Coturnix japonica: one gene and its partners. The protein of the gene in region 1 interacts with the protein of each later gene in a biochemical or structural test. Links are inferred from orthologs where the notes say so. Each region holds a gene or a part of one and is shown in the gene's direction. Other genes may lie near its edges.

Region 1 (3,500 bases):
GAAGAGCTGGGCTGTGTCTTTATGTCTTTTCCTTTATGAGAACCCTTTGGAGAGCCCTGCAGCACCGTCTGCATCACGCTGTGGCTCAGCCAGAAGTGCCCTATCACAGGTTGGAGGCTGGCTGCAGCCAATTGTTTGTTCTTTTCAGAAACTACACGGTGGTGAATCCAGAAAAAGGGGTCATAGAAGTGGAGAGGATGAGCTGCCCCGGCATGAAGCTGTGCTGCCAGCTGAAATTTCAGAACACACTCTGGGCTGCTACGGAGGTAAGGCCGTCTGTACCCTGCTCAAGTGCTCCTCCTCGCAAGGCATGGAAACCTATGGCCTCTTCAGTCAATAGAACTAAGAGTGCTGGAGACAACAGAGCTGAGCACCTGCTGCCTCATGGGGTGTTGGTGCTGCATGCTGTTTGGCTGACACTTAGAGCACGGTTGTGTCTCCTTGTGTTCAGAGCAGTCATGGGAATCTCGGCTGCCCGAGGTGAAACTGCTCCAGTTGGGGCATATCTGCACCCAGTGGTTCCGTCTGGGAAATATCCTTATCTCTGAGTGATAAATGGGAGCAGTGAAAGAAACCATGCATTGTGGGTGGGGTTGTAAAACAGGGCCGAGGGATTTGGAATCTGGTGGGAAATGGGCACCCAAGTGCAGCGTTCACCATGGAAAACCACAGCTGAAAAGATAAGAGTGGGAGAGCATGGCTGGCTTATCTCTGAGCCTGTATCCGCCCATCAGAAAGGGCTGTGTTAAGTGTCAGCCTGTTCTGCACAACCATTTGACACAAAGCAAACAAAACATAGATGAAACAAATGGGAATGTTCCCAAAGTTCAGTTTCGGGGTTGAGGGGCAGGAGGCCACGTGTGCAGAATAAGTAATCCATGTTGGTGAATTCACATGGCTGGAGTATGGAAGCTGGAATGGAGTGAAGGTGTGTATCTTTTTCCCATGTTGATAAATAAGGTATTTGACTTTTCTATCCACTCAAATTGAGGCAGGGTTCACATATTCCTTGTAACTCCAGTATTATTAGTCTGAACCGATGGGTGAATGCTAAAGAGCACAAAACGTATCTCAGTTGTCCTGACACATTCATGGTTTGTTCAGAGTTGGGGTTACCAATGCTGGTTTCAGATACACTGCTGTAACAGCTGGAGTGCTGAGTTTAGTTGGCTTTGGGTCACAGTTGGTTCTGGGGAGGGCAGCCCCCAGGTTCTACCCATAGGCTAATGGCCTCCAGAGAAAACAAAGGGAAATCCAGGCTTTGCGTAGGAAAATATACAAATAAAAACTGTTTGGGATTCAGTTATCAAAGGGTAAAAATCATGAGAAGCAAAGGAAATTCATTGAATTTGGTGTGTTCTTCCACAGGACCAGAAGATCTCAGTGTACAGGCTGCAGGGCATGTGTCCTCTGAAGGCCCCGCAGAAGGGTTTGGACTCTCCTGCTGCTGTCAGCTGCTTCCTGGTGATTCCTGTTATCAAAAAGGTATGGGGGAATCCTAGCTCCAGCTTGAGAAGGGTGTGTTAGTGAAGCCAGGCTAGAAGGCTTGTGCCACTTGTCACCAGCCAGCATCAAAGGTGTTTGCTGTGTTTGGTAGTGCAGGAAGGTGGGTTTGGCTCTTGGTGTCTCTACCAGCAGAGTGAGGGGCAGAGGTGTAGGCATGAACCTGCATCAAGGGACCGGAGCTGGCACTGCAAACTCTGCCAGGATAATAGTCCAAACAGATCAAATTCCCATGCAAGGAAGTTTTCCAGCCGTGTTTCCACATCACTGCATGGCAAGGTTTAGGCTGATCAAGCAAGGTCGAGGGGATGTGAATGAGTAATTAGTATAGAGATTTGTTAACTGTTAATGCAGGGCTTGGGTATACTCTGGCTCCTGCTCTCACTCTTTCCCTGGCACGTGTGCATGCTGTTGTTTGTGTGCACAGTATTACCTACACTTCTTTCTGGTTTTGGATGAAAATGCTTAGGTCATAAATGCAGTCTATGAGCTGCCACCTATGACTAATAAAACGCTGTATGCTATCTAGCTGGTTGTGAAACTACTACCATCCAATTACTGGCAAGAGGAATCTGACATTACTGCCTATTGCGGGCAGGGCTGAGGGATGTACAAAAACTGCTCTGGGCTAAATTACCTCCGGTTTGTCTACAGCACCTCGAGTGAAAACACATAATTATACTCCAACGTTAATGGTGACCATGAAGTTTTTGCAGATGCCAGTGGGCTGTCTAAGGCTAAAAGCTCAACACGGAGCAGCTCTCATGGCAGCCGTGGAGCTGTTTTATACCGCGTGTCTGTTCCCGTTGTTGTCCATTTCTGGCTGGTCTGCTCAGACTGCTGTCTGCATCCAGGGCGGATGGTTAGTGTAAGGTGTACCACTTGACTTCCAAACATGGTGTGAGGAGGACTGAAGAAGGGCACAGAGCTGAAGTTGGCGGAGGGACGAGTTTCAGCCGCCTCTTGGCTTTCTTTGGCTCCCACGTCTGCAGTGTTTCTCCACTGTGCAGTTTCATTTCTGACGTGTAGGGCAAATTTCTTTTTCGTGCTGCCTGAGGTTTTGTCCAGGATAGTCGAACGAGTCTTTTTGCTTTTCAGCTTTTCCACTGTCACACAGCTTGCAAAGCCATTCCTTAGGGGTTACGAGTGGCTTTATGTCTCCTGGTTTCTATTTTCAGTTTGTGGCTTGCCTAGAAAATGTCATAAATAATGCCAGGCTCTACAATAGTAATATTGAGTCTAGACACCTCCCTTCCTCCCCCGACCCTACCCAACCTTCCAGCAATCCACATCCCTTTGCTGCTCTCCTTGCTTTATTGCACTTACTTTTTCCTCTCTCCTTTCTATGAATGAATTTGGCAGTGAAACAGCCAGAGCAGCAGCCGTGGGGATGTGCAGACCAGGCTGGCAAGAAACTAAGCCATTTTTTTGAAGCAGCCAGTTCTTCCCATAAAACAAAGCGGAAAGCTTACACTTGTCAAACTCACTGTACAGCACAGCGAGTTGTATCTGAGTTATCACATGGTAATTATTGCCTGGTGCAGGGAAGAATTGCTCTCGTTTCCCTGGGTAGAAAGCCTTCAGCTGTTGAGATGTGAGGTAACTCGCAGTCAGAGAGCTGCTGAGGGATGTTGCTGGGAAGGGGAATTCTTTATGACTGCCTTGGGAAGGCTGATCCAAAAGAAACAATTTCCAAAACTCAGTTTCTCATCCAAAGGAAGCATCATGGAAACTTCAAGGCAGCAGAGAGGGGCCCAGGATCCAAATCTCACCCGCCAAGGAAAAGTTTTGTACAATTTGAGCTTTTTTGTTGTGTGGTTTCTGGGGGAGAGAGAGATGTGTATGGGTGCGAGCCTCCAGCCTCCTGCAGCAACCTGGAACAGATGAAAACAAAAGCTGCATTTAAAGGCTGCAGTACTCAGTGCCAGCAGCGCCAGACCTTGTGGGAAGGAGGGAGGAGGTGACCGAGGCCATTTTTGGTTTTAACCTGCTCCTTG
Region 2 (4,241 bases), on another chromosome or scaffold:
CTACAAGAGGCTAAAGTCTACCTAGCACGGACAAGAATTTAATTAAGAGGAAAAGCACAATATCCAGCCAAATAAAATCAATCACTCAGATGCCTTCCCTTCTCAGTCCATGCTCATCTCCGCATGATACTGCAGCCACAGGATCTGCTCCTGCAGAAGAAGCTTGGGCAAATTCTGACCTATCAGACCATGATAATTTTGGTGAGATTTCCTGACCTGTTTCTCAGCAAGGCACAAACTCACAGCCACATTTAACTTATGTCTCTTAGCTACTACCCTGAATTTTCCTCTTATTTCCAGCTTTTTTATTAACTCTGCTAAGTATGTGGCTATCAGCTACAGCAAAACAAAGCTTTTCAAACAAAGAGATCCTTGAGACAAATATTGCAAAGGCAAAGATGGGAGGGCTGTGGGAAGGGCAGCTGTACCTGGGGTTTATCAGGCCCAGCACTGCTGGCCAGGCGAGGAAAGGGGTTCTCCTGCTCTGCATTGCAATGCTGTGTCCTCACATCAAATACTTCCAAATTGGGATATTCTATGGCTCTAAGGAAGGAACAAGGCTGAGCAATTGTCGCAATAAACAAACCCCACTGTCAGAGGATGGATGAGTGTCAGTGTCAATCAGCGTCAGCCCAATCTGTGACCCTGCCCTGAGCTGACAAGGTTCTGACCATCCCCAGGGTGTGCACAGGCAGCTCCTCTGAAATGAGGCACGTGGGTAATGAACGAATGCACACCTCAACCTCTTCGGAGCAAGCAGCTTTGCAGCAGACAATGTCTGCTCTTCAGGGGCTCGGCATTGACTCTGCAGGGTAAATAACTGTCAATAGGCGCCTGGGGCCAAGTGGATCTGTCAGATGGCTGCAGGTGCTCGCTGCCAAGTGGTGTAACCCACTGCCAGCACTCAGAGATGGGGGACAGGCTGGTGCTCACACAGACACTCTACATTCAGATGTTTGCCAGCATCAGTGAATCCAAAGGCTGAGACACGATCAAAGAGTCGATTCTGAAGTACAGTGCCTGTCCACACTGCAACTCTGAAACAGACATTATTTGTGCTGTTTGCCAGGGCTGGACACACATAACCTTAACCCATCAGAAAGGACGAAGTTCCTGGCTTCTCGTTCCGTTGGACCAGAATCGCAGAATCACCGGCTCGGAGCAGGAGCTGTCAGAGCGGTGTCAGACGGTGTCAGAGCGCTGTCAGAGCGGTGTCAGAGCGGGGACATTCAGGCACTCGGCGCTGCTCCCCCAGCCCGCACCCAGCTCGTCTGTCCCAGCCGGGTCTCCCTGCCATAACCCCGCACCACACTGGAGGCCACCAGAAGTTTCCAGCCGGGCCGGGCTCGGCCGCCTCCCTCCTCCCCGTCCCTCCCCTTTCCCCTCCTCCGCCGGCCGGCGCCGATTTCCAGACACTTCCAGCCCCGCGCCTCCGCCCCCCCGCTCCCCGCGGCGGATAAAGCGGCCGGGCCCGGCCTCCCCGCCCCGCACTCGGCGCATGGCCCGGATCCGGCATGAGCGCTGCCACGCACTCCCCGCTGCTCCAAACGGAGAGCGGCTCCGAGCCGCTGCCGCCCGGCTGGGAGATCAAGGTGGACCCGCAGACGGGCTGGCCTTTCTTCGTGGACCACAACAGCCGAACCACCACCTGGAGCGACCCGCGTCTGCGGGGCGACGCGGCCAAAGTACGGCGGGGGGTGCGGGGCTGCGCTATGGGGCAGGGGGTGGGGGGGGGGGTTGGAGGGAGGTGGGGGCCCGGCGCTGGGCTGGGGGCTGCCGGGGCCAGGCTGCGGCTCAGCGCGTGGCAATGCAGTGAGGCCAGGAGCTGCCTTTTGTCTCTGACGCACTGCAGTCCCTTTTTTGTGCATTAAATCATCCGATACCTCGGCTCCGGGGTGTTTATTTAAAGTTGGTGAAGTGAACCCGGCCGGCCCGGGGAAGGCTGGGATGGGTTTTTTTCGGCTGCAAATGAGCCGAGGCGACGTACAGAGCTTCAAAGTGACGCGGCTCAGACTTGTCAAGAGTTTTAGGGTTTTTTGTTGTCTTGGTCTCGTTCCATACTCCGTCACTTCGTTGTGTTGTGTCTGTAAGTGCGCTCAGAGAAAAGCTGCATCTCAGTCCTAATATGTCCATGGCTGCGGGCAGCGGCTGGGAGCCGGTGGGACCCGCAAAGTGGCTTTTCGGAGCCCAACTCTGAGCCTTCAGAAGTTGCGCCGTGTGACCCGCCTTAGTATTAACGCGGTGACTGAAAAGAAAGTGCTGGAAACTTGAGCTGCACCGCGAGTTGCCAGAGTGGTGGAAAAACAAATCCTGGGGGGTTTTCTTGCATTTCTCTGCAAGCAACGCTGCTTTCTTTCAGCCCGGGTACGGCCAACCTCGCGGCTTCGCCTTTAGTTCTGCAACCCCATAAAATGGGCAATGATGAAGCATAATATCGCGGCTCCTGTGGAGGATTTCTGTCCGTCCTTGCGACCTAAAATGTCGCCCGTTGCCGCCGTTAGGACGAGGCCCAGGATCGCTCCGTGCTGGACCCTGGCCGCCGCTGCTCGGAGCGGTGCTGGAAGGGATCGCTTGGACTGTGCGGAGCCACGGCTGGCCCCGAGCCCAGCGCCGGCTCTCAGCTGCCAGGCCCGGCTCCGTCCTGCTGCAAGTCAGCTGGAACAGCCCAGCTGCTCCCTGGACGTGGTGCGCGTGGAGCTGGCAGCCTCCAAGTGCTTTGATCACGGTGACGCGGCCCAGCGAGCGCTGACTGTGGCCATTGCTTCGCCGTCCTGTCGGGGAGAGCCGGCAGTGCTGGGAGGAATCGGGGCTGCCATCTTAGGCAGAGCCCCTTCCCTGGGAAAAGCAGCCTCTGGTGTGGCACGTGGCTCACGTGGAGCCAGTGGAAGATACTCAGTAACTCCAAAATGTATCTTCGATGTAACTGATACAGTTTTTATTCCCCTCCCCACCCAAGGAGTCTTAAAGGATTAAAGCGCAAAAGAGCATTTTGAGAAACATTAAGTTCTTACATTGAATTGCCCATTTTATGAGCGCAGATCAGCTCAGTGTGAAAGCAGACAGAGCTCACACAGAAGTGAAGGGGCTGTGCTTCTCCTTCTCCCCACTGCTCCAGCCAAGTGATGTTGTGCAGTTGCACTCACAGATACAAAGTGCTGTTTGGAATGGAAGAAATGCATTGTGCCAGTTACAACATAGCCTTTCACCCCCTTTTTCCACTCAATTATTGATTATATAGTTCTGGCAGTAATGGTAGATCTTGTTTGATGTAGTTTGGTGATGTGAATGTTGAGAGTACAATAGGGAAAAGTGCTTTAACTCATTTTTGGCTACTGACTTCCTAGTGGTAATGAGACACCTACTAACATGGGCTGTTATGGCAATAAAAATATGCTTTTTAGAGCCATAAAGCATAGTCAAGTCGAAAAGCATGCATTTATTCAAGGCTTTTGTTATGGAAATAGCACTTGAAAGTAACTCGTTTAAGGGAGAAATCACATTTAAGCTGCATTTGATAATTGTATAAAAAACAGGTTTTGAAGTGCTCTAATGGATCAGTGCTGGTTTTGAGTGGGTGACTGAAACAAAACAAGTTTTCATCCCTATCTGATGTTAAATCTGTGGTAATAAAAAGTGGCTCCTCTCCTGCCAACTTGGAAGTGTTACTACAGGCAGAAAGAGCTGTGCCTCTTTTCAGCTCTTTTTGTGGAATTCACTTGTTTTCCAAACAGAAACACCTGTCACCGCTCACTACAAGCAGGAACAGCTTTGGGACTGGTCACAGAGAAATACTTCCAGGGATAGTATTGGAAGGTTGAGTTCTCAGTTCCCTCCTTCTTAGTCTGCCTTCAGTGAGAGTGATCAGGAGTGATCAGAGAACTGCAGAAGCCAACCTTGTGTCAGACCATGTCTCATTAAGGATGAAAACACAGGCAAAGTTGTACTGACTGTACTGATGAAATCAGTGATTTTGTTGATCCCTTTTATGTTAGTCTCTATAAATCCTTATTCTCTTTATAAATCCTTGTTCTCTCTCCAAATATTCCCTCTTCACAGAGATATAGGTAGAACATGAGCTGTTGCTCAGAGAGCAGAGCGCAGGTCCAAAGCTGACTGACTTCTTTTAGCTGATCAAACAGGCTGTGGCATGGCAAGGTGCTGCATTTCCCCTACAGCTCATCTTGATCTTCCTGCTCTAGATTTGCCAGCAGTGTAACCATGCTGACTGCATTAACTGTACC
Region 3 (3,500 bases), on another chromosome or scaffold:
TCTCTCAGTCTGTCCTTGTAGGTGAGGTGCTCCAGCCCTCTGATCATTTTCATGGCCCCCCGCTACAGTCACTCCATCAGCTCAGTATCCTTCTTGTGTTGCAGGTCCCACAATTGGTGCAGTACTCTAGATGGGTTCTCATGAGTAGAGGGGCAGAATCACCTCCCTTGACCTGCTGATCATGTTTCTACTGATACAGTCCAGGATAGGGTTGGCCTTCTGGGCTGCAAGTACACACTGCCAGCTCATGTTGGGTCTTTCATCAATAAACACCCCCAAATCCTTTTCTTTGTTATTGGATGATGTAAAAAGATGGTTCCTGCCATGTCTATTAGCTCTATTAAATACTGGAGGGCCTCAGAGAGGTCTCACTGAAGCCATTCCTTCTCCACGCTGAAAACAAGCCAAGCTACCTCAACCTGTCTTAGCAAGAGAATTGCTGGGGGATGGAGAGCTCTTGTCCTTAAGGAGTTGCCATCTCTGTTCTGTTTCTGGGTCCCTAAAGACAGTTTCCCAGATCTCATCCAGGATCTTGACATCTTTTTGGCAGGACATTATTCCTCAAGATCAGAAACTCAGCTAGGGCATGGTTGTGTTACAGCCCAGACTGTAAAGTGCTGTTAGGAAGCTCGGAGTAGCTAGCTTCAGAACTCTTGTAACTTTAATTCATTTTGTGTAAAATGTAGATTGTTTTCCTACTGGGATACTGTAAATGAGGCTTTTGGAAAGAGTGGCTAGTTTGTTTTACAAGTGGGTAGTTGTTAGGTAATTGTTATCCAAGGCAGAGACTAGAGTTGTCTGTGAGGTAGAACACAGGTACAGATGATTTTTGGCATGGGACAGTATTGAGTTTTCTGTGTTTAATATTGTTGTAGTGCAGCCATTGTGCCTTTGTTCAGGAATTGTGTTTCTGTCCTTATTTAGAAAGACCAGTCAAGGATCATTAATATTTGTCCGTGTTTCTATTTAGTTCTCCTTTTGTGGTACTGTATCAGATTTTGAAAAACTGTGTTTCCCAGCAGTGCTGTTAAATGTTCTCAATGTTTTGTTGTTGTTTTTTACTGCTCAGTGGCACAGTATTAACAAAAGTAAGCTGTGTACCCAAGTGTAGAATTTGATTCTTTTGTTTAATGGTTATTTCTTGCTTTTGACAGATACATTGAATACATGTGCGACATGATGGCTGAAGAGCCCATTATTCCTCACAGCAAGCCAATCCTGATCAGATCCATCATCATGACACCAGTTCCTCTTTTCAGCAAGCAGCGTAATGGCTGCAGGCCTTTTTGTGAAGTTTATATAGGGGATGAGAGAGTAACCACTACCTCCCAAGAATATGACAAAATGAAGTAAGTAGAGGTTATGGAGAACTGTATGTTTTGTTTTCCTGTAGTGAGTTAAGTAGGTCTTTACTATGAGGAGAAATACAGCTTTGGATGTGCCAATTGATCATGAAGCTTCTGGAAAAGCTCCTATGTTCCATTTTAGTTTATTTTGAAAGGTAAATCATGGTTATTTAAAAAAAAATCATGTGGCTATAGTAGAAGCATGGAGGTATCTCCACAGAATGGGTGAGCGACAGCAAGGTGACATATTGCACTGTGGGCTTTAGGAGGAAGAATGGAACAAGACCTTTATGTATTGTCCTGCAGGGATCAGTCTTCCTATTTTGCATGTAGTTGCTGGGGGGATATACCAGCACCACTGAAACTGAACTTCACAGTGCTGCCATAAAAAACATGGAGCATCCATCAGCTGTAGGAGATCTAAGGAAAGTACAGCTCTTCAGTTGCAGTGCATCACTGCAAGTGCAAACGATGCTGAGCAATTCTGTGTAACAGTCACGGAGGAAAGATGGGAGAATACCCAAGTCCTCCTATATTTCTGGTAATTTTAAGCCCAGTAAAGAGCTTGAAACTTGAAAAGAGTGAGAATGAAACTGCTGTGGGGTATTTTCACCTTCTTTATTCCTACCTTTGTTCCTAAGTGAGAATCCTTAGTAGTAGCAGTATCATGACGTAGGACAGCTGCAGTTTCTTTGCACCTTTCCTTGGAACAGTCATATTCACGATACCCTGTTTGTCTTGTCCTTTTCTCTAGCTGTGCTCTTGTATTTTCCAGCAGCTTCTTCAAAACATGTCTCCCCTGCCGTGGGTGGCTGCTGTTTGCTAGCTGCTGGCTTTTAGAGCAGGTTTTTGTTTGTTTGGGGTTTTTTTAAGTTACTTAGAGTGAATCCCTTTGTTGACAGTAAGAATTTTGTGTGGAATTCATAGGTTGGTGTTAAAGGTCTTGGAGAAAGCAAATTAAACATAAGGAAATGCAGATTATATCGCTGAATCAAGACTAACAGAGGATATGCTTTTTCCTCAGGGAGTTTAAAATTGAAGATGGGAAAGCAGTAATTCCATTGGGTATAACAGTTCAAGGAGATGTTCTCATTGCCATCTATCATGCCAGGTCAACACTAGGAGGCCGACTACAAGCCAAGGTAATGGCAAATTTAACAGCCTGTGTCAAGGGCTTGTTTTTCCTTTGTTCAGTGTGTGTTGTAGGTGTATTTGGAATCTCAGTAAGTACATAACTTTATTTACTCCTTTTTTTGTTGTTCAAATAAGTGTATGATATGTTCTTGTACTTGGGAATTTGCTTTAACAGGCCTGAATATATATGTCCATTTTCTTCATAACGCTCTCTGTTGTGATATTGTTGTGATATTGATCTCTGTTGGTAAGAATTTCTAGAAATCAGATTTGCGGTGGTAGTTACTACATTTGTGGGGGAGAGTCTGTAGCCATTTTGTAAACTTATCCAATCTCATCCAGAAAGGTGTACAGTAGGACAGAACTTCTTAATACTGTATAAACAAGCTTCAACACAACCAAAGGAAAAATGCTGCTCAGTATGGAAGTGGAGTGCCAGGGACTGTTCATATGGAACAGTCTTTTTAATTAAAAAAAAAAGTTTCTACTATTGTACCCTATTCCTAGAGCCAGGTTAAGTTTTATAGCCTATTTTCTTACTGGTCTTACGCACTCTTCCAGAAATAGTGCGTGTTTCACTTTTAATACAAAAAAGAAAAAAGCTAATTTATTAGAAGATAACAAAAAACAGCAACTTGGAAACAAACTCTGTCTTTGCATCACTAAAAACGAATCCTAGGCTTCTCTCAGAAATTAAACCTGTTGTAAAAGATAGAAAGGTGCAGTGGGAAGCTTAAGATAACCTGGAGCATTGTGGGAATTGATCCAGAGGATTTCAGTCAGTACTACAGCTGGAAAACACATGGGACAGACAAGTTATTACTGCAATAGAAACATTTCTCTACATTTTTCCTTTAACTTTATGTGTAGGAATACAAAATCATTTGCAGAGATTGGAGGTGGGTGAAAAATTCAGCCTAAGTTAGCTTGTTTTAGTTCAGCCTCAGCGTCAGTTTCATGGCTAATAACATTAACATCTATTTATTGGGATTTTTTTTCTGGCAATTATTCACTAATTGG
Region 4 (4,125 bases), on another chromosome or scaffold:
CAAATTCACTAAACCCTTTGTGAAAATTATGTCCTTTCAAAGCTAGATATAGTAGGTTTCCTTTTTCCTATTCCTTGAATGGAAAGAGATAGTGAGATATCATTCTAATTTATCTTCCTTATGCTGTTCACCCTTAATAAATGATGAAAAACTTATAACCACAGTTACTCATTTCTTTTTTTTTTTTCTTTTTTTTTTTTTTTTTTGCGCACTGAAGAATTCTACTATGCTTAGTCACTTCTTATGAAGAGGTTGATCCATATTTTTATCATCATTGCTCATTATCACCCAGTGTTTCACTACGTGAGATCCTTCAGTAACTCACACAGGAGATTTGTCCAAAGCAAAGAGACCAAGAGTCAGTTGTCTTAAGTCACTTTTTTCCAGGAATTGTATACATAAGAAGCAGAGGAAGAAATGCATTTCACAGTTACCTTTGATTGGTCTAACTGTGTTTATATGAGCAGTAGAATGTAAATTTTATTTGCTAAGGGCATTAAAGTCTTTCATGTACAGCTTCCTAGCATAGCTCTTAAGAAGCTCATACAGAAATAAATTTTCAGAACCAACTGAAAGAAGTTATCTCTTGTAATTTCCACAGGACTAGACAAAGCTTACAAATCCTTGCAAAGATATCTTGGAATAGTGGTTTTGAAATGTATAGCTGTTCTAGAAGAGACTGAAAGAGCTCAAGGACAAGAAAATTGTCCTAAAAACAGACACAGTATTGATGGGGAAAGTCCTTGAGCATAAAAGTGTTTGGGAGAGGGGCTGAGAGAGCACTTATCTGTTCTTATATTCTTCACTAGACATTCTCTGTGGCTGCTATTAGTGTCCTGAGCTAGGTGTACCTGTAGTCTGACCCAGAAGAACTTCTCTTACAAACCCAGGCTGCCATGTTCGTTAAGACAGACCATCTATAATGCATGAAGATTACCCTTTCTGTGGCTGCTGTAAATGCCGCAGGAGGTTGTGCTCTCCCAGAGTTTGTCTCGAAAGAGGCGATGCGAGAAATAACGTCAGCGAAGACCATGCCACCAGGTGAAAGCCCGCACTAAGCTCTCGGGGACGGGCTGTGCTGTTGCTTCCCCGACTGTCAGCAGCCCGCGGCTCCTTTGTCACCACTCCCCCGGCGGTTGCGGCGCACCGATCCCGCAGCATGGGAGAGCCTGGAGCTCCGGGAGGCAGTCGGGCAGGCGGCAGGAGGGCTTAGGACCCAGGGGGACGGCAGCCTCCGAGTGGAAGGACCCAGGCTTTGGTGCACACGCCTCCTACCGAAAAAAAAAAAAAAAAAAAAAAAAATCCTAGCCCCGTGGAGCTGGCGCTCGCTCATTCACAGTTTTCTAGAGAGATCTGAGCCTGAACCTAGGAGCCGGGAGATCTTTCTCACCCACCCAGCTCAACGGCAAGGACACCTACAGGGGGAAAAAAAACCCCAAACATCCCACGCAGCCCCCCGCCGCCCCGAGGCAGGCTGCCTGGCTCTGTGCAGGTATTTGGATTTGTCTTTTCTCGGGTTGCGGCAGGGCGGCTCTCCTCTCTCCCGTCCCTCCCCCGCGCCTCCGGGCCCGGGCTGCGGCTTTTCAGCACCGCTGGGCGGACAGCTCCGGCCGCAGCCCCGCCGCGCTGCGGGCCGGGGCCTCTCCCTGCCTGCTCCCTTCCCGGCCCTGCCCTGCTCCTGCCTGCTGCCTACCTGCCCTACACCCTGCCTACCTGCCCTACACCCTGCCTACCTGCCCTACACCCTGCCTGCCTCTCGATCTGCCCTTTTCCTTGCCTGCCCTGCCTCCTGCTTCTTGCCTCTCCTGCCTTTTCTGCCCGTTTTTCCTCTGCCTGCCTGCCTCATTCCACTGCTCACTGCCATCTCCTTGTCTCCTGCCTCCACAGCTTGCCTCCCTTGCCTGCCTTGTTTCCCTGTTCCCTGCCTCCTCCATCTCCCTAAGCTGCCTGTCCTGCCTCTCTTCCTCCCTCCCTTGCTCCCTATCTGCCCTGCATCTCGTCCCTGTCTGATACCTGCCCTGCCCTGCCTGCCCTACTTCCTTACCTCCCTTTCCTCTCCTGAATCCCATCCACTCCCTGCTTTCTGACTCCCACCTACACTGTCTCTTTTGCCTCCTGTCCTTATTGCCCTGCCTTTCTGCTTTCTGCCTTCTTGCTTTCTGCCTCTCCGATCTACTCTCCTCCTTGATTTGCTTCCCTGCCTCCTTTCCTCCCAGCCCATATTTCTGTTTCCTTTCTTTCATACCATTTCCGCCTCCTAACGGCCTGCTTCTTCATCATCAGCTCTGGAGGAGGCTATGAGAACTAGGAAAAAAAAAAAAAAAAAAAAAGCTACTTAATCCCCAGAAACTGATCAAGGCAGGGGACAAGAGTAGCAAGATGGAAAGGAAAGACTACGTCCAATTTCAGAGCAGATGAGAAGTGAGAGGAATGGAGAGGGGAGGGTTAAAACTGGGAGTTAATTTGCTGAGACCCTAACTAAGTACAGGGTGATAGAAGTACAAGCAGAGACTGTTGCTTCTCAACAAATTGATCCCTGTTTTGACCAGGTACATTCAAACCAGAAGGGGATGAGAGATTAAAGGAAGGGAAAATGTTCAGGATTAGTCAAATGTTCAGCTTTACCAGAGGCAAACAGTAATGAATAATGTCTGCAGTGAAGAAGTAGGGTGAATCATGCTTACCCCATGAACCCTTTGCTGGAGGGAGTCAAGAACTAAGTTTTGGTTTTGCAAGCAGCAAGTGTTTTCAAGGAGGGTTTAATGCAGAAAATAAATACAAAGAAAATAACTGCTGGAGAATCCCCATGCATGCTACTGATTTGACTTTAATTATGCCTGCAATGGTATAATCCTGGTGAGGGTGAAGGGGGGTTGAAGAAGGTCATAGGAAGAAAGGAGCTTTCAGTTTAAAAATGCTGATTCCTAAATCTAAACAAGCTCCAGGAATAATGAAGTTAAGAGGCAGATGGTTAGTTGTTGTCCATCACTAAACAGTGACTGGATTGTATTTGGAAAGAAAAATTAAATTACAGAAAGGCTGCTTTCATGTGCTTTCTGAGTAATCAGACGGTAACACGGATTTTCTCCAGTAAGAAAAGTTAATGCAATGCCAACATCTAAATGACAGATTATGTAACAGTATTATGTCAAGTATTGTATAGCAAAGGTAAGGATTTTCTTTTTTTTGTGTAGTGATAAATCAGATGACCACATAGATCTTTCCCTGCTTTGCAGTCTGTACCCCACGATGAAGTTCGTATGGACAGCTCATGTTGTCAGCACAGTCAGGTCTGTTAAGTATCTGCTATGTGATGTCACTGATTATCTTCAGAATGTGGTTGACTCATCCGGATTTGCAAAGCATTGAGAATTTCTCTAAAGATTAGACTCTTGTAAGATATATGCAAAACAATAACATAACTTGTTCTAAAACCTTGCCATTCTTGCCTTACTATTTCATCATTTCTGACCACATCTGGTGCAGAGACCCAGATTCTCTTATGCCGAGTAACACAGAGAGCTACGGAGTAGGCGTAAGCAGTGCAGTTGGCAATAGAGGGACTGCAGAATCAGCCCCATCACAACGAGCCATAATTCCATAAACTCTGTGCTTTGAACATGGAAAGCATTGCAACAAAATATGTAACAACAGCTTCATTGTATTTCTAAAGAGGGCCCTGTCAGTGAGAATACAAGTTATCAGCCTCATAAAAAGAGTATTCCCTGCAAACTAAGGAGCATAAGCACAGCTTTGTTTTTTATCTAAATGAGGAGCTACTGAAGTACTTCTGCTAATATTTGGCAAATTAGTGTTATTTTCCCTCCTATCCCACAGATGTGGTATATAGCATATAAACAAGCATAATGGGACAACCAGATAATAAGAAATAGGTAGGAACATCAGTCTTTTATGGAAGGGAAAATTCACTGAGCAATATTTCACATAGTTTATGGCAGATATATATAAATCCTTTACATGTTGATATTATTACTGCTTTTAGGAATTTGCCTAAGAATTTCTAAAAGCTCTTTTTTTATTATTGTTAATAGGATTTGTAGAAATAAACTTCTTAATTTTAGTATGTTTGAATGCACAAGGTATTATCAAATTGCATTAAACTTC
Region 5 (3,500 bases), on another chromosome or scaffold:
AAAAGAGGATCCTGCTGCTGCCTTCTCAGCTGCATTTACATCACCTGTTTCTCACCTGGCAAATGGTAACAAAGCCACCACCATTGTCCCAAGTGTCTACAAAAATCTGGTTCCTAAACCTGCAGCTCCTCCTTCCAAGGTACGAGGTTTTCCAGCCAAGTCAGTGAACTGTAGATCAATGGAAAAGGAGCACATACAGCTTTTCTAACTTAGCTGTTGTTATTTTTGTGTGAAAAGATAATTGTGAGGTTTGAAAACTAGCACTGTACCAGCAGTAGAGCTTAAGAGATTGAAATGTACTTCTGAAAGCTGTATAAAGGTCTGCTGTGCTGCTGCATGTAGACCCATTGCCTTGAAATTGTGGAAGTCAAACATAAATATTTTCATAGCTGTTAGTTCTCGCTGTGTTGTTGCTGTTGCATTTTGTTTTCATTACTTGTAAAACCCTTTGCAGAAGTTTTTCTGTTAATTCAGTCTAGCAGAGCTGCTCTCAAAACTTCTCAAACTGTTCTCTGAAATTACCCTTTACATTTTAATTCTTTATTGAAACAAACAAACAAAAATACAGTAATCTGTGCCCACAGTTGGAACAAAGCCTCTTATTTTCATAGATAATTTAAGGAGTATGATCAGGCTTTTGGAGACGGTCTTGTGACTGTGGTGTGAAAGTTGAACTAATGCTAAAAATGCAAGGTTTGTTTTAGGGGGGGATTTTGAGTTTTGACATCTTCCCTGCTTGTGTTCTAGCTTATACGTCTATATCTAATTCAGAATTATGGCCATATGTTACAGTAGCTGCCTCACTTTCCTTTGGTATATTCCAGGATATTCCATTCAGAACAATTACTAGGTGTGGATTGTACCTGAATCCTTACCATAGATGAGACAATGCTGATAACTGGGCTGGTAGAGCAGGTATTGACTCGTGATGTGTGGCAGCTCCCAGGAGATCACAGTCATGTTAATTGTGATATAAGTTGTGTTCTCCAGTCATGAAGTGTGCATGCATTGACACCGTGCTGTGGTTGTAGAGGGAGTATGATGCTGCTCACTGGTGGGGATTTCAACAACTAGGAACTGTGTGCTGTCTCATCAACAGCTTGTGTGTTAGTGAATGACGACCACTGATAGAGCTAAAGGTGGAGATCTGCTCATCCTTAGGTAGAAAACCTGTGTTCATGATGCCTTCTTTTAAAGGTAGAGACAGAAAGGAGCTGTGGTAGGCTACATTATTCTGAAGGCTCCAGAAGGTTGTGTGGAAGTTGTAGTGCATAAAGCATTAGAGGAGTCAGAACGTTCCTTTTGACAAAGTCAGCAGTACTGGAAAGCTGTCAGAGGCAAACTGGATGAAATATGCTTGTTAGCTGTACCAGAGGAGGAGAACACGGTGGCAGTGATGGAAGCACATTCTTCCTTTAGATGTGGCGGAATTGTTCACAGGTGAGCAGTGAGTGAAGGTCATAATATGCAGGCGATTCCTTTTGATGCTCAGCTGTAGCTGTTGCCCTTGAATCCAGCAGTCTCTAAGAAAGTAGCAGTGATCAGAGTTTGAATTTGTGTAAGCTGCCACTTTGTGGAAGGTGGGAGAATGACAATTAGCAGCCCAGAGCCAGGTACCTGAACGAGTGCATCCATGTGAATATGCAGAGGGAAGCTTCTTGTTAAATTGATTCTCTGCTCCTAAGAAACTTACTACAGGCAATATTTTGGAGACCAGAGTCTTTTCTGGGTTTCAAATACATGTTTGGAATCTGGTATGAGTGCTGAATTATTTATTCAGCGCTGTAGACTACTTCTAAAGTTGGTGTGGAAGGCTATTAATGAGAATGGAATGATGGTCTCCTCTGGTGATGCATTTATTTTAAAAGGAATAAAATAGCCCAATGGAGAGAGAGATCATAGTGAAATTATGGCTTCTGCTTTCATTGCTCACGGATACAAGATCTATTTAATGTCAGATACAGCTTAATCACACCATGCATGAATTATTTTGCTATCAAGTTGGCTTCAGAAACACAATTGTTCAAAGGAACTGTTATGCCTTAATGCTTTGACAAATGTATTTTTTACACTGCCTGATTCGAGTCCTTTGTTAGCGTTACTGTAATAAAAGCTGCCACTTCAGTGTTTGTCCTTGGCTGACGAGACAGGCCCAAGAACAAAATTCCAAGTAACAAAGTGTTATCTTGAAGGCTTTGCTTTTCAGCCAGACTGCCATTGTATCTAAGGGACATTGCAGAGAGTATCCAGAGCAAAACAGTAGGTAGGTACAGTGCTCATCCACTGCATTAAACTGCCAATTTTCTATTACTTTTATTGGCTAAATCAGTGCAGTGATGGACACTTCCAGAGCCCTAAGGAAATTTACATTCTCGGCTTGGACAGAAAGATTCCTTGAGGTGCTGCTTTCTTGCACAGGGGAAGTTCCTGTCAAGTGAGGCAGAACTTTTCTGTGTGACGAACAGCATTCCTATATGAAACATGGGTTTAATTGGGATCTTTGTTTCCTATCTGATGCTAGCTGCAAGATGCACTGATTCTCTCAGTGGTGATTCCAGTTGATGAAGAGCAGTGCTGGATTTTCTCCTTAGGCTCCAACTGCATTTTCTTATTAGGGGGTCATGCCTGTGAAGCAGAACTTGCTGTGCCTTGGAGGAAACAGGAGATGATAATGGGGAAAAATAATGTATTTAGAGGTGAACTGTTTTTGCTTTTCTGCTTGCAACCAACCCATTGTAGTGTCTTACCACTTCTTGTCTTTTGTGTTCTTTTCAACATAGCCAAGTCCATGGAAAGCCAACAGAAATGAACACAAGCCAGGCTCGCTTTCCTCCAGCCGTGACTCTGCCTTTACCAGTCCAGTGTCTGTAACCAAACCAGCGGTACTGGCAAGTGGCTCAGTCCTCACCTCTCCCAAAGAGGTAAGAAATGGGGTTTGGGTGTAAGAAAGGAATTTTATCACTGTCACCTACTGTAGCTTCAACAAAATAAAATCTTTCCTGCATGTGATACCTAGCTTTGTACCCCTGAATTATGTCTCACTTGTACATTCTTAGCACATCTTTAGTGCATCTTTGATGCTCTCAAGTGATCTGGTTGTAAAGCTGTTGCCATTAGCATTTACCCAAACATACTAGAATTTCTTCCCAATTTAAAAATGAAAAACCTCATACTTAATAGCCTTGTGTTGTTAGACACGCATGGACTTGCAGGACTGCAGATACCAAGAAAAGATGTGCACTGAAAGATAGGCTGATTCCCATGCTGTTCTTAAGTACTTTATAGGAAAAGAAAGTGAAAGTGATCTGCCTTGCTTCTTTTCTGTAGGAAAACAACAGCACAAGCAATGAGCTCTGAGGGGTTCAGCTTCATGCCTGTTTTTAGTGTTGGTAGGAGGTAATCTGCTGAGGATAAGGCTGGCTTACCTCCATTTCTGGTCTGTGTGTTTCTGATGTGTGGAGAGAATCTCCAAATGTAAATTACTTAACACTTCACTGGTA
Region 6 (4,009 bases), on another chromosome or scaffold:
TAGCCAAAGTAATCCTAAGCAGGGTGGACACAAGTGATTTACTGCAATCAGAAATCAGTCCCAGGCCCTTTTTCCTTGCTAGCACTGTGGACACAGCTATGCCACCTTTAAACTGTGGCAAACTTTAGATGGCACTTCTGTCTAGAATCTCTATCCCAACAGCTTAAATGAAGAAGGGATGCATACAAGCAGTCATTAATAAGTTCCACTCTTTCACCTAGAAGTTTCCATTTTCTGGCTTCAAAAATGCCAGATTTCTCCCAATAAGACACCAGGTGCACATGGCAGAGGTGGGTTTCATGTGGTCTGTGAACCTCTCTATAACTGTTGCCACCAGATTTCCTCCTCAGCCTTTGTTGTGGTCCTCCATCACACCTTCCCCAAGGCTGGAAATTGAGTAAGATGTCTTATTCTTTGTGAGATGTTGGCACAGTGTCTGACAGCAATGGCACAGCCCCTGGCTGGATGCCCAGGGAGGTTGTGGATGCCCCGTCCTTGGAGGTGTTCAAGACCAGGTTGGATGGGGCCCTGGGCAACCTGATCTAGTAAATGTGTATGTTCGGTGGCCCTGCCAGGCAGGGGGGTTGGAACTACATGATCCTTGAGGTCCCTTCCAACCCGGGTCATTCTGTGATTCTGTGATTCTGTGGATTCTTGAGGCTGCATCCCTGCTGCCGTGCATCAAGGCCCGGCAGCACCAGTGTTGAAACACACGCCTCTGTGAAAGCAGCAGAATGAGCCCGGCAGAGGGGATATTCGTCTCCTCGCTGTTTAGAATCTTTGTGTAGAGGGAACCGAGGGATAACGACACCAAACAGATAACGAAAGAGTTCTGTGAGCTTTTCAGTGGCCGGAGCAGGGTTGCCCGCGTGGTCGACACCGCGGGCACTCCACAGGCCCGGAGCCGCCCCGCTCCAGGAATACGAATTTGAGGCAAAAGCCGACAGAAACGCGAAGGCTTCACGGGGCCGGGGGATGGGGACTCGCCCGCCCTTGGGGCCTGGCCGGGGCGGCTCCCCCGGGGTTCCCCCTCCCCCTCCAGCCCTCACGGCGACGGGGCGGGGGGGCAAAGCGCCGGGGTGCGGGGGCTGCGGGGAGGGGGCACGGCCTCGCCGCCACACCAGCAGCAGCCGCCTGCCCAGCGCCGGGCCGGCTGCTGAGCCGCCCAGCGGCCCCCAGGCGGCGGCGGCGACCGGGGGAGGTGAGGAGGAGCCGCCTGCGCGGCCCAGCGGCGGCGGGCGGGCCGGACGCGGCGAGCGAGCAGCCGCGGGCCGCGGCGGGGAGGGCAGAGCGGCAGCCGAGCCTGCAGCGGCGGCGCCATGGCCACCAAGGTGAGCGGACCCCGGCACCGCGCGGGGGGCGAAGGGGCGGCTCCGGGGCGCCCCCTGCTTCGAGCGGGCCCCGCGGTGGGGTCGGCGGCGGTAGCTCCGCTGGGCAGTGAGGGAGAGAAGGAGGGCTGCGTTATGGGGTCTGGGGAGCGAGTCCCCTCCCCGGGCCTGCCCCTCGCCGCCGGGAGGGGAGGAGGGGGCTGCCGCCGCGTCGCGCCGCGCTCGGGCCTCGCCGCCGCCCGGCCCCGCGTGGGGTTCGTAGGGGGCAGCGTCCGATCCGAAGTTGTTTTCTGCTGGATTTCCGCCCCTCGCCTCGCCCGGCGTGGCTGCGAGGGCGGAAAGCTGCTCGAGGCCGGGCCGGTGCCGCCCCGTACCCCTGTCCCGTGGCTGCCGGGCGGTGCGGAGGGAAGGAAGGCCTGCGCGCTGCTGGGCCCGCCGTCCCTGCTGCTCTTCCCGAGCCCCACCGGGGGATGCGGGTGCTCCGAGCGCTGCGGCGGGCACGGCTGGTGTGCGGCAGCGGCCGAACCGAGGGGCGGGGGGCTGCGTGCTGCTCCGCACAGAAAGCTGCGGGTTGGGAAGGCCGTGAGGGCCGGGGCAGCTCTCCAGGGCTGCGGTGTGTGTCCTGCTCTAGGAGTATTAGGGTCTGATTGAGTGGGAAAAGAAAAAGAAGGAAGTGAAATTGTTTTGCTTTGTTCTTCAACAGTATCTATCTGCTATGAATGCAACAGTCGGAATTAGCCCATCCTGTCTGAAACCGATCTCTTTCTAAATTGACAATACTTATTTACTCTACTTGTTGATGAAGGTGGCAGTGCTGTTTTGTCTCTGCTCGTGTAGATGGGTAAACATCATTTACAAGCTGTCTGAATATCACACGAGGCTTTTTGGTATTTGAAGTAATGCTTTCAAACTGATTCGATTCCAAAACTTGCCCAGCCATGCAAACAATGTTTTACTGAGGCACCTGTCATACAGCACGCTGCTCTTGTGGCATTTCTCAGTATCAGAGAGTTCCCTCATCTTCAGTGTGTAGGATTTGATGGCTAAATAGCAGCCTCCAGCCATCCGAGCAGAGGGTAACTCACTAAGCCTTTTCACATGCACCGAAGAAATGGTGTAAGCTTCAACATCATTAATGCAATTGAAGAAGTATCAATATAAGTGAAATTTATGACCTGTACAGGTTTTTAGAATATCATTAATGGACTTAGTTTTGTTGTGGGTGGTTTCCACTGATTTGTGGGCCGTGTGCCTGAACCACGTGTAAGCACACGTAACTACTGCAGGTAGCAATAAAAAGAAAATGACAGGTGTGGATGTAAAGCATAACACATGGTCTACTGAGCAAACACCGAGTTCAAATGCTTTATGTTTTCTTTTTACCTCACTTTGAGCTGTAGCATCTGCCCTCATGGAGTCTCATAACACTGTTTTATCCATACATATGGATGTTTTCACTTTTTGTCAAATAAATGGTTGTGGTCATTACGGCCTTAGAACGAAGGACATGTCATAGTAGCCAGAACTGTATTGAAATCAGGTGGTGCAAGATTTTTTTTCATTCAGCGCTTTGCAAGACATAGTAATTGACTTGTATGTTAAATTTGGGAAGTGATAGTGAAGGCTTGACATTTCTTTTTGATATTATTATCTCAATTAGCTGTTAACAAAGCTTTACTGAAGAGAAGCTTGCTTTATTTTAAGCTTCACCCATGAGTTAGGTCCCTTTCAGCTAATTCTCCTACTTTGGATTTTAATTTGCTGAACTCGTTCAAATGTCAGCTATAATAAAGGATGCCTTTTTTTAATGGAGTAAGGGAGTGACAGGCTCAGTAAACTGTCTTCAGGAACTCCGCCAACTAACAAGTTCCCATTTCACCTGGAAATTGTTTTCCTTTTGAAGCTGCAGACAGATTTGCCACCTTCCACTTGTTCTCTTTCTGAAGGATATCAGAATTATACAAGAAAATGTTGACAAAACGGAGCTGTGACTGGTCACCTGGGGTGTGAATTTCAGAAGCGTCCATGGCGTGACAAGCTGTAGAGCTGGTGGGGATGAGTGGCAGTCAGGCATGGCCAGCACTGCACAGGCTGTTAGTGCTTCCTGTACTAACTCTTGTTTAAACTAGAATGTGCTTTACGAGGAGAAAATGGCATTTCTTCCGTAATTTGTGAACTCTGACCAATCTTATTGCCTTCCACCGTGATAAACCCTGCTGTTTAAGTTCCCAGAGTGCTCTGAAGATGTGGTTTAATCTCATAGTCTCCTAGCTCTTCCCTGCACCATTTAAACTCATGAGAATTCTTATTGAAATACTAAAACTTTCTGGGGGAATAACTACTATTTTCATGAAAACAAACAAACAAAACCCCTTTATTGATGCTCTGCTGGTGTATTAGTTAACCGGCAGCTGGGCAGGGATACTATGTAGGCCCCACGCCCTCTGAGGGCTGTGGGGATTCAGTGTGATGGTGGGAGCTGGCCTCACAGTCACTGCTACCTCCTTGTGCTGATCCTGTGTTGACACTAATGCTTGTCAGGCCTGTCCTTGAGTGACTATGACTCGCTAGAATAGCAAAAGATTAACTGAGGGAGAGCAGTGGAAAAGTTTTTTGCAGTTCCATCTATTGAAGTAGGTAAAAGTTTGCTTGGAGCAGTTGCAAAAGGTTCGGTGCAAGCG
Region 7 (4,116 bases), on another chromosome or scaffold:
TATGCTGGAGACACGTGTAATATGACAGTTTCTATAGTAACTACTTGTTCTTTATGGAGCAGCAGATTAAACCTGTACACCTTGTTATTGTTCTTTCATCCCATTATCCAGAGTACTCAGGCAGTTACCACAGCTACACTGCTTTATCCCTCTTTATTCCCCTGCCAACAGAACTATGGCAGAGCTTCGTGCACTGCAGAACGACTGAGAGACACAGAGCACCATTAGAATTTAGACAGTCACTGCTGCCTGATCGTATCAATGCATCAAAGCATAAACGTGCATTGCTGGATACTGAAAGGTAAAGCTGGAGAGATTAAAAGCTGGTTGTTTGTTTTATTAAGCTGGCAAGTTTATGATTTGAAGATTACAGTTTTGCTGAGAAAACAGCGCTGGTCACGTATAGGACATTTATCTTTTGATGCTCTGAGTCACATCACCAGCCCAGGTGCATGGACAAACTGTTGGTAAGAACCCTGAGGTTCATTACGCATAGGACTCACGTGCTACACTGATTCATGGTTCTTATTTCAGTGCAAGAAAACTAATGCTGCTACGTTGCATTTTTACACTAAAATATTTCATTCCTGTAGCTCATTGATGCTGCAGTTGTGCTGATGGATCAGCCCTGCAAGCGGCGTTAATGACAGGAATCAGATGTTTGCTGTGCTGCATCATGGTAGCCTCGCTGTGGGAAACATGCCCCTGCTCTGTCTCTGCCTGGGAGCCTCCGTTGCTGTCTCCAGCAGAAACGTATCAGTAATAGATTCCGGTTATGAAATCGCACTGTAGGGAGAAATCGCAGCTGTGTGAGCAGGGCTGCAGCCTGCACGGCTAAAAGGAAAGATATGTAGGAACAGGTAGCTCCATCCGTGACATAAGAGAAAATGGTACTTGGTATCACTTAAATAAAGCTGCAGCGAGCGTCACACGTAGAAGCGAAAGATGGAAAGAGAAAATGCCCGGCACCGAAATCAACCGAAAGATGTTAACAGCGGAATGAAGGCAGATCCCGCGGCACGAGCCGGCTTTGCCCTCTGCCCTTCATTGCATCACTCTGACACACATGCGGCACCCCGACCGCTGCCTTGTTCTCCTCGGGGAGCTGCCCCGTGCGCGCTCCTTACGCAACACGGAGCGGAGCCGCCCGTCCGCCGCTGTCACCCAGGACGGGAGGGGTTGGAGGGGTTGGAGGGTTACAGGGCTCGGCCGCCCGCCCCCCCTTGCCATCCTCCGCTCGTTGGCGTGGCAACGCGCTGCTGCCTCCGCCTCCCGCAGCCGGCCCCGCGTCCCCCGCCCGGCTCCCGGCGGGACCGCCCCGCGCCGCTGCCTCCGCGGGCCGCCGGCGGGCGTCGGTATTGCGGCATCGGGCGGAGCGAGGGGCTGCGAGACCGGAGAGGAGGGAGGGCAGCGTCCGTCTGCTGCTGGGAGACCGGGCAGCTGCGAGAAGGCCGCGGGAGGAGCAGTGCGGGGCTGCGGAGATGGATTGAGGCGGTGGAGGCTGCCGGCCCGGCGCCGAGGTGAGTGCGTGCTGCCTTCTGCTTCCCTCCTCCTTCTCCTTCTCCGTCAGCTCCGCGAGGAGCGTTTCCCTCTTACGTTTCCAGAATGAAAAGGGGGTTCTGCGGGGGGAAAGGAATAGATGCGATCTTGAAACGAACGGCGGTAGTTCGGTGATGGAAGGGATGGTCGTCACCGTGAGGTAGGAATATTTTGCTGGTTGCAGAAGAAAAATCGCAAGGGTTGGGCTGCTGCCGCTACGGCTAAAATGACCTTCCCTGGGCGGCTGTGCTTCAGCTGAAGCCCTTTCCATCAAACTCAGGCATCGCCCTTCCTAGCCCGGACCCCAGAGCCAGCATCCGAGCTGCCCCGAGCCGCAGCGCTCCGGTACCGATTCCATTCGGTTGTGCCTTTGGGAGAGGACCCTCCCCGCACGGCTCTGCTCCCCGGGGGTTTTGCAGTTGCAAACCTCCGGTTGCTGGGGGTCTGCAGCGAGTCCTGCAGCCGCGGCTGCTTGTTGCGAGGCTGCTCTGCCTCGTCCGCGTTCGTTCATGCGAGGCATCGGGAGGCGTTATAGCATCAATCCGCACCTGTGCATGGCTCCGTCTGAGGTGCCGAGCCACAAGTTCCATGGTCTGTTTGTATCTGCATTTCGAGTGAGAGATCCATACGCACCCAATGCTTCAGTTAGCATGTAGATCTACAGACAAGTGTATATTTTTCTGGCTGTAGCACTGAGCTGAGTGGTTTTTTTGCTGTTTCCCTGTAGGAGCTGCTTAATGTGTTCTTGCAGCATTTGCTCAGGAGGCTGCTGACCTATCTCAGCTATGTTTTCCTGGGTGAGATTTGAGACCACCTCATTGCTTTTCCATTCAGCTCCCTTTACATCCATTTGCTGGTACAAACGTGGCTCCGATTTGGTTTTTATTCTGGCTCTGTTTTGTGCCGTTGTGGGTCACACCCTTTGAGTGGCCACTGGAATGTCTTCTGCAGGGGTTGCACGGCAGGTCAAGCAGAACCATGGTGCTGTGGATGCCTACTTGTGGATCATGTAGTCAAAATGAGGGTGTACCCTGTGCTTCCACAGGGAAAACTGTTTCTGACTTGATGGATGGAGAATTTGTAATCCACGTTGATGGCTTAAGTGCTGGTACAGATAAAAATAGTGGCTTTTCTGCAGCAAGGCACATATTTGCCGCCTGAAGCGACACAGGTGCAGGGATAGAGCTCTGCAGAACAGGAAGGTGTTTGCCTTTAACTTAGCTGTCTTCATCAAATGGTTAGACTGGAAGCTCTTCCCCAAAAGCACAGATCCCTGTCCTTGGGTAGAGGACACCGTTCCAGCGTAGGCCTACGTGTACAGAAGAGTGAAATTTCATTCTTCTGGAAGCCAGTGATGAATGAAATCAAAAGAAAACATCTCAGATATATGGGGGTATTTAGGATAAAATCTCCTTTCTTCTATTACTAAAGCATGGACGTGCATTTTCAAAGACCCGTACTTGTGTGTGCATATGCATGCCCTCAGAAAGGTTGACTGATTCCACGTGAGGCCGCAGATTTCATTCTGGCTGTGGGCCTTATGGAGGTGAATAAATTCTGCTGCATGAAGAATGTGCCACCTTGTCTGAGGATTATGTTCTCATAACTCCACTGACTGCTGGTGACAGAGCTGGCTCTTTGGGAGGCACTACTGCCTTGAAATCAGATGTATCAGGCTTTTGGTGCAGTTTGCTGTTTCAGCTACAGGCCTTGGGCTTGAATTTAACTATGATATTCTAAAAATAACTAGAAAAATAGTTCTGGCAGAGCGAAGTGAAAGTGTTCAGGTTGTCTCGGTTTGGATTACACGTTAATGGAAAAAGTATATTAGATATTAAGAAATCTAGACTGAAGCAGAAAAAAGAAATGTGGCCCTTCATCTGAAGGGAATCTACCTGCTGAGATGTGGGGAAGGGGATAAGCAGAGGGATAAGGACAACAGAAAATAAAAGCTTAAATCCTTAAATGGTGAAGTCAGCTTTTCCTCTCCAACTTAAGCAGATAATGATTTTGACAGCAGATAGAGCCTTGGTTGATACGTAGCAATGAGGTAACGTAAAGGAGTTATATCTCTTCCCCCCCTACCACCTAATTAAAGAAAATTGCTCTCAATTCTTTTGGGCTAAATCACCATAATTCCACTTATTTCAGAAGATGTTCTCCAGATTTATGTAACTGAAAATGAGAGTTGAATCTCACTAACTCTGTGTAATGATTTGGTCCTGCTTCCATGGGACTTGCTGGAAGTTTTGTTCCTGCTGTCAGTCGGACAGTCCCGGCTCAATATGAGCACGCAGCTTTTCACTGATCAGATTCTCCCATGCCCTTTAGGATCAACAGTGTTGAACAGTTTTATAGCAGATTTCAGTAAGGTCACTGTCTCAATGACAAATTCACTAAGAATTTCCTGGAGTCACAAACTCTAACTTATGAGTTATCAGTTTATCAAAGTATTAATCGTTTAACCACGAGTCACAAGTGGTGTTTCCTAGAGGCAGGTATTGGGGCTTATTCTGTTTAAATATCTTTTGTGATGATTTGGATGAGGGGATGGAGCGTACCTTCATTAAGTCTGCA

What was found.
Region 2: the proteins of LRRK1 (region 1) and BAG3 form a complex in vitro, tested with the Homo sapiens proteins (2 studies listed by BioGRID and IntAct, with this or other methods). The link is inferred for Coturnix japonica from reciprocal best matches to the Homo sapiens genes LRRK1 and BAG3.
Region 3: the proteins of LRRK1 (region 1) and GAK form a complex in vitro, tested with the Homo sapiens proteins (2 studies listed by BioGRID and IntAct, with this or other methods). The link is inferred for Coturnix japonica from reciprocal best matches to the Homo sapiens genes LRRK1 and GAK.
Region 4: the proteins of LRRK1 (region 1) and CLVS1 form a complex in vitro, tested with the Homo sapiens proteins (2 studies listed by BioGRID and IntAct, with this or other methods). The link is inferred for Coturnix japonica from reciprocal best matches to the Homo sapiens genes LRRK1 and CLVS1.
Region 5: the proteins of LRRK1 (region 1) and GPBP1L1 form a complex in vitro, tested with the Homo sapiens proteins (2 studies listed by BioGRID and IntAct, with this or other methods). The link is inferred for Coturnix japonica from reciprocal best matches to the Homo sapiens genes LRRK1 and GPBP1L1.
Region 6: the proteins of LRRK1 (region 1) and SNX9 form a complex in vitro, tested with the Homo sapiens proteins (2 studies listed by BioGRID and IntAct, with this or other methods). The link is inferred for Coturnix japonica from reciprocal best matches to the Homo sapiens genes LRRK1 and SNX9.
Region 7: the proteins of LRRK1 (region 1) and GNAZ form a complex in vitro, tested with the Homo sapiens proteins (2 studies listed by BioGRID and IntAct, with this or other methods). The link is inferred for Coturnix japonica from reciprocal best matches to the Homo sapiens genes LRRK1 and GNAZ.

Annotation. Positions count from the first base shown.
Region 1 is NC_029525.1:15,890,719-15,894,218, forward strand, and holds part of LRRK1 (leucine-rich repeat serine/threonine-protein kinase 1), read left to right. Parts: intron 1-148; coding exon 149-266; intron 267-1,368; coding exon 1,369-1,485; intron 1,486-3,500.
Region 2 is NC_029521.1:26,988,814-26,993,054, forward strand, and holds the start of BAG3 (BAG family molecular chaperone regulator 3), read left to right. Parts: upstream 1-1,441; 5' UTR 1,442-1,514; coding exon 1,515-1,685; intron 1,686-4,241. UniProt on the Homo sapiens protein: Co-chaperone and adapter protein that connects different classes of molecular chaperones including heat shock proteins 70 (HSP70s), e.g. HSPA1A/HSP70 or HSPA8/HSC70, and small heat shock proteins (sHSPs), e.g. HSPB8.
Region 3 is NC_029547.1:47,310,664-47,314,163, reverse strand, and holds part of GAK (cyclin-G-associated kinase), read left to right. Parts: intron 1-1,154; coding exon 1,155-1,349; intron 1,350-2,370; coding exon 2,371-2,488; intron 2,489-3,500. UniProt on the Homo sapiens protein: Associates with cyclin G and CDK5. Seems to act as an auxilin homolog that is involved in the uncoating of clathrin-coated vesicles by Hsc70 in non-neuronal cells. Expression oscillates slightly during the cell cycle, peaking at G1.
Region 4 is NC_029517.1:102,420,068-102,424,192, forward strand, and holds the start of CLVS1 (clavesin-1), read left to right. Parts: upstream 1-1,325; 5' UTR 1,326-1,492; intron 1,493-3,236; 5' UTR 3,237-3,290; intron 3,291-4,125.
Region 5 is NC_029523.1:18,790,943-18,794,442, reverse strand, and holds part of GPBP1L1 (vasculin-like protein 1), read left to right. Parts: coding exon 1-139; intron 140-2,780; coding exon 2,781-2,921; intron 2,922-3,500. UniProt on the Homo sapiens protein: Possible transcription factor.
Region 6 is NC_029518.1:46,765,417-46,769,425, forward strand, and holds the start of SNX9 (sorting nexin-9), read left to right. Parts: upstream 1-1,209; 5' UTR 1,210-1,319; coding exon 1,320-1,331; intron 1,332-4,009. UniProt on the Homo sapiens protein: Involved in endocytosis and intracellular vesicle trafficking, both during interphase and at the end of mitosis. Required for efficient progress through mitosis and cytokinesis. Required for normal formation of the cleavage furrow at the end of mitosis.
Region 7 is NC_029530.1:7,728,883-7,732,998, reverse strand, and holds the start of GNAZ (guanine nucleotide-binding protein G(z) subunit alpha), read left to right. Parts: upstream 1-1,316; 5' UTR 1,317-1,520; intron 1,521-1,585; exon of another isoform or gene 1,586-1,699; intron 1,700-4,116. UniProt on the Homo sapiens protein: Guanine nucleotide-binding proteins (G proteins) are involved as modulators or transducers in various transmembrane signaling systems.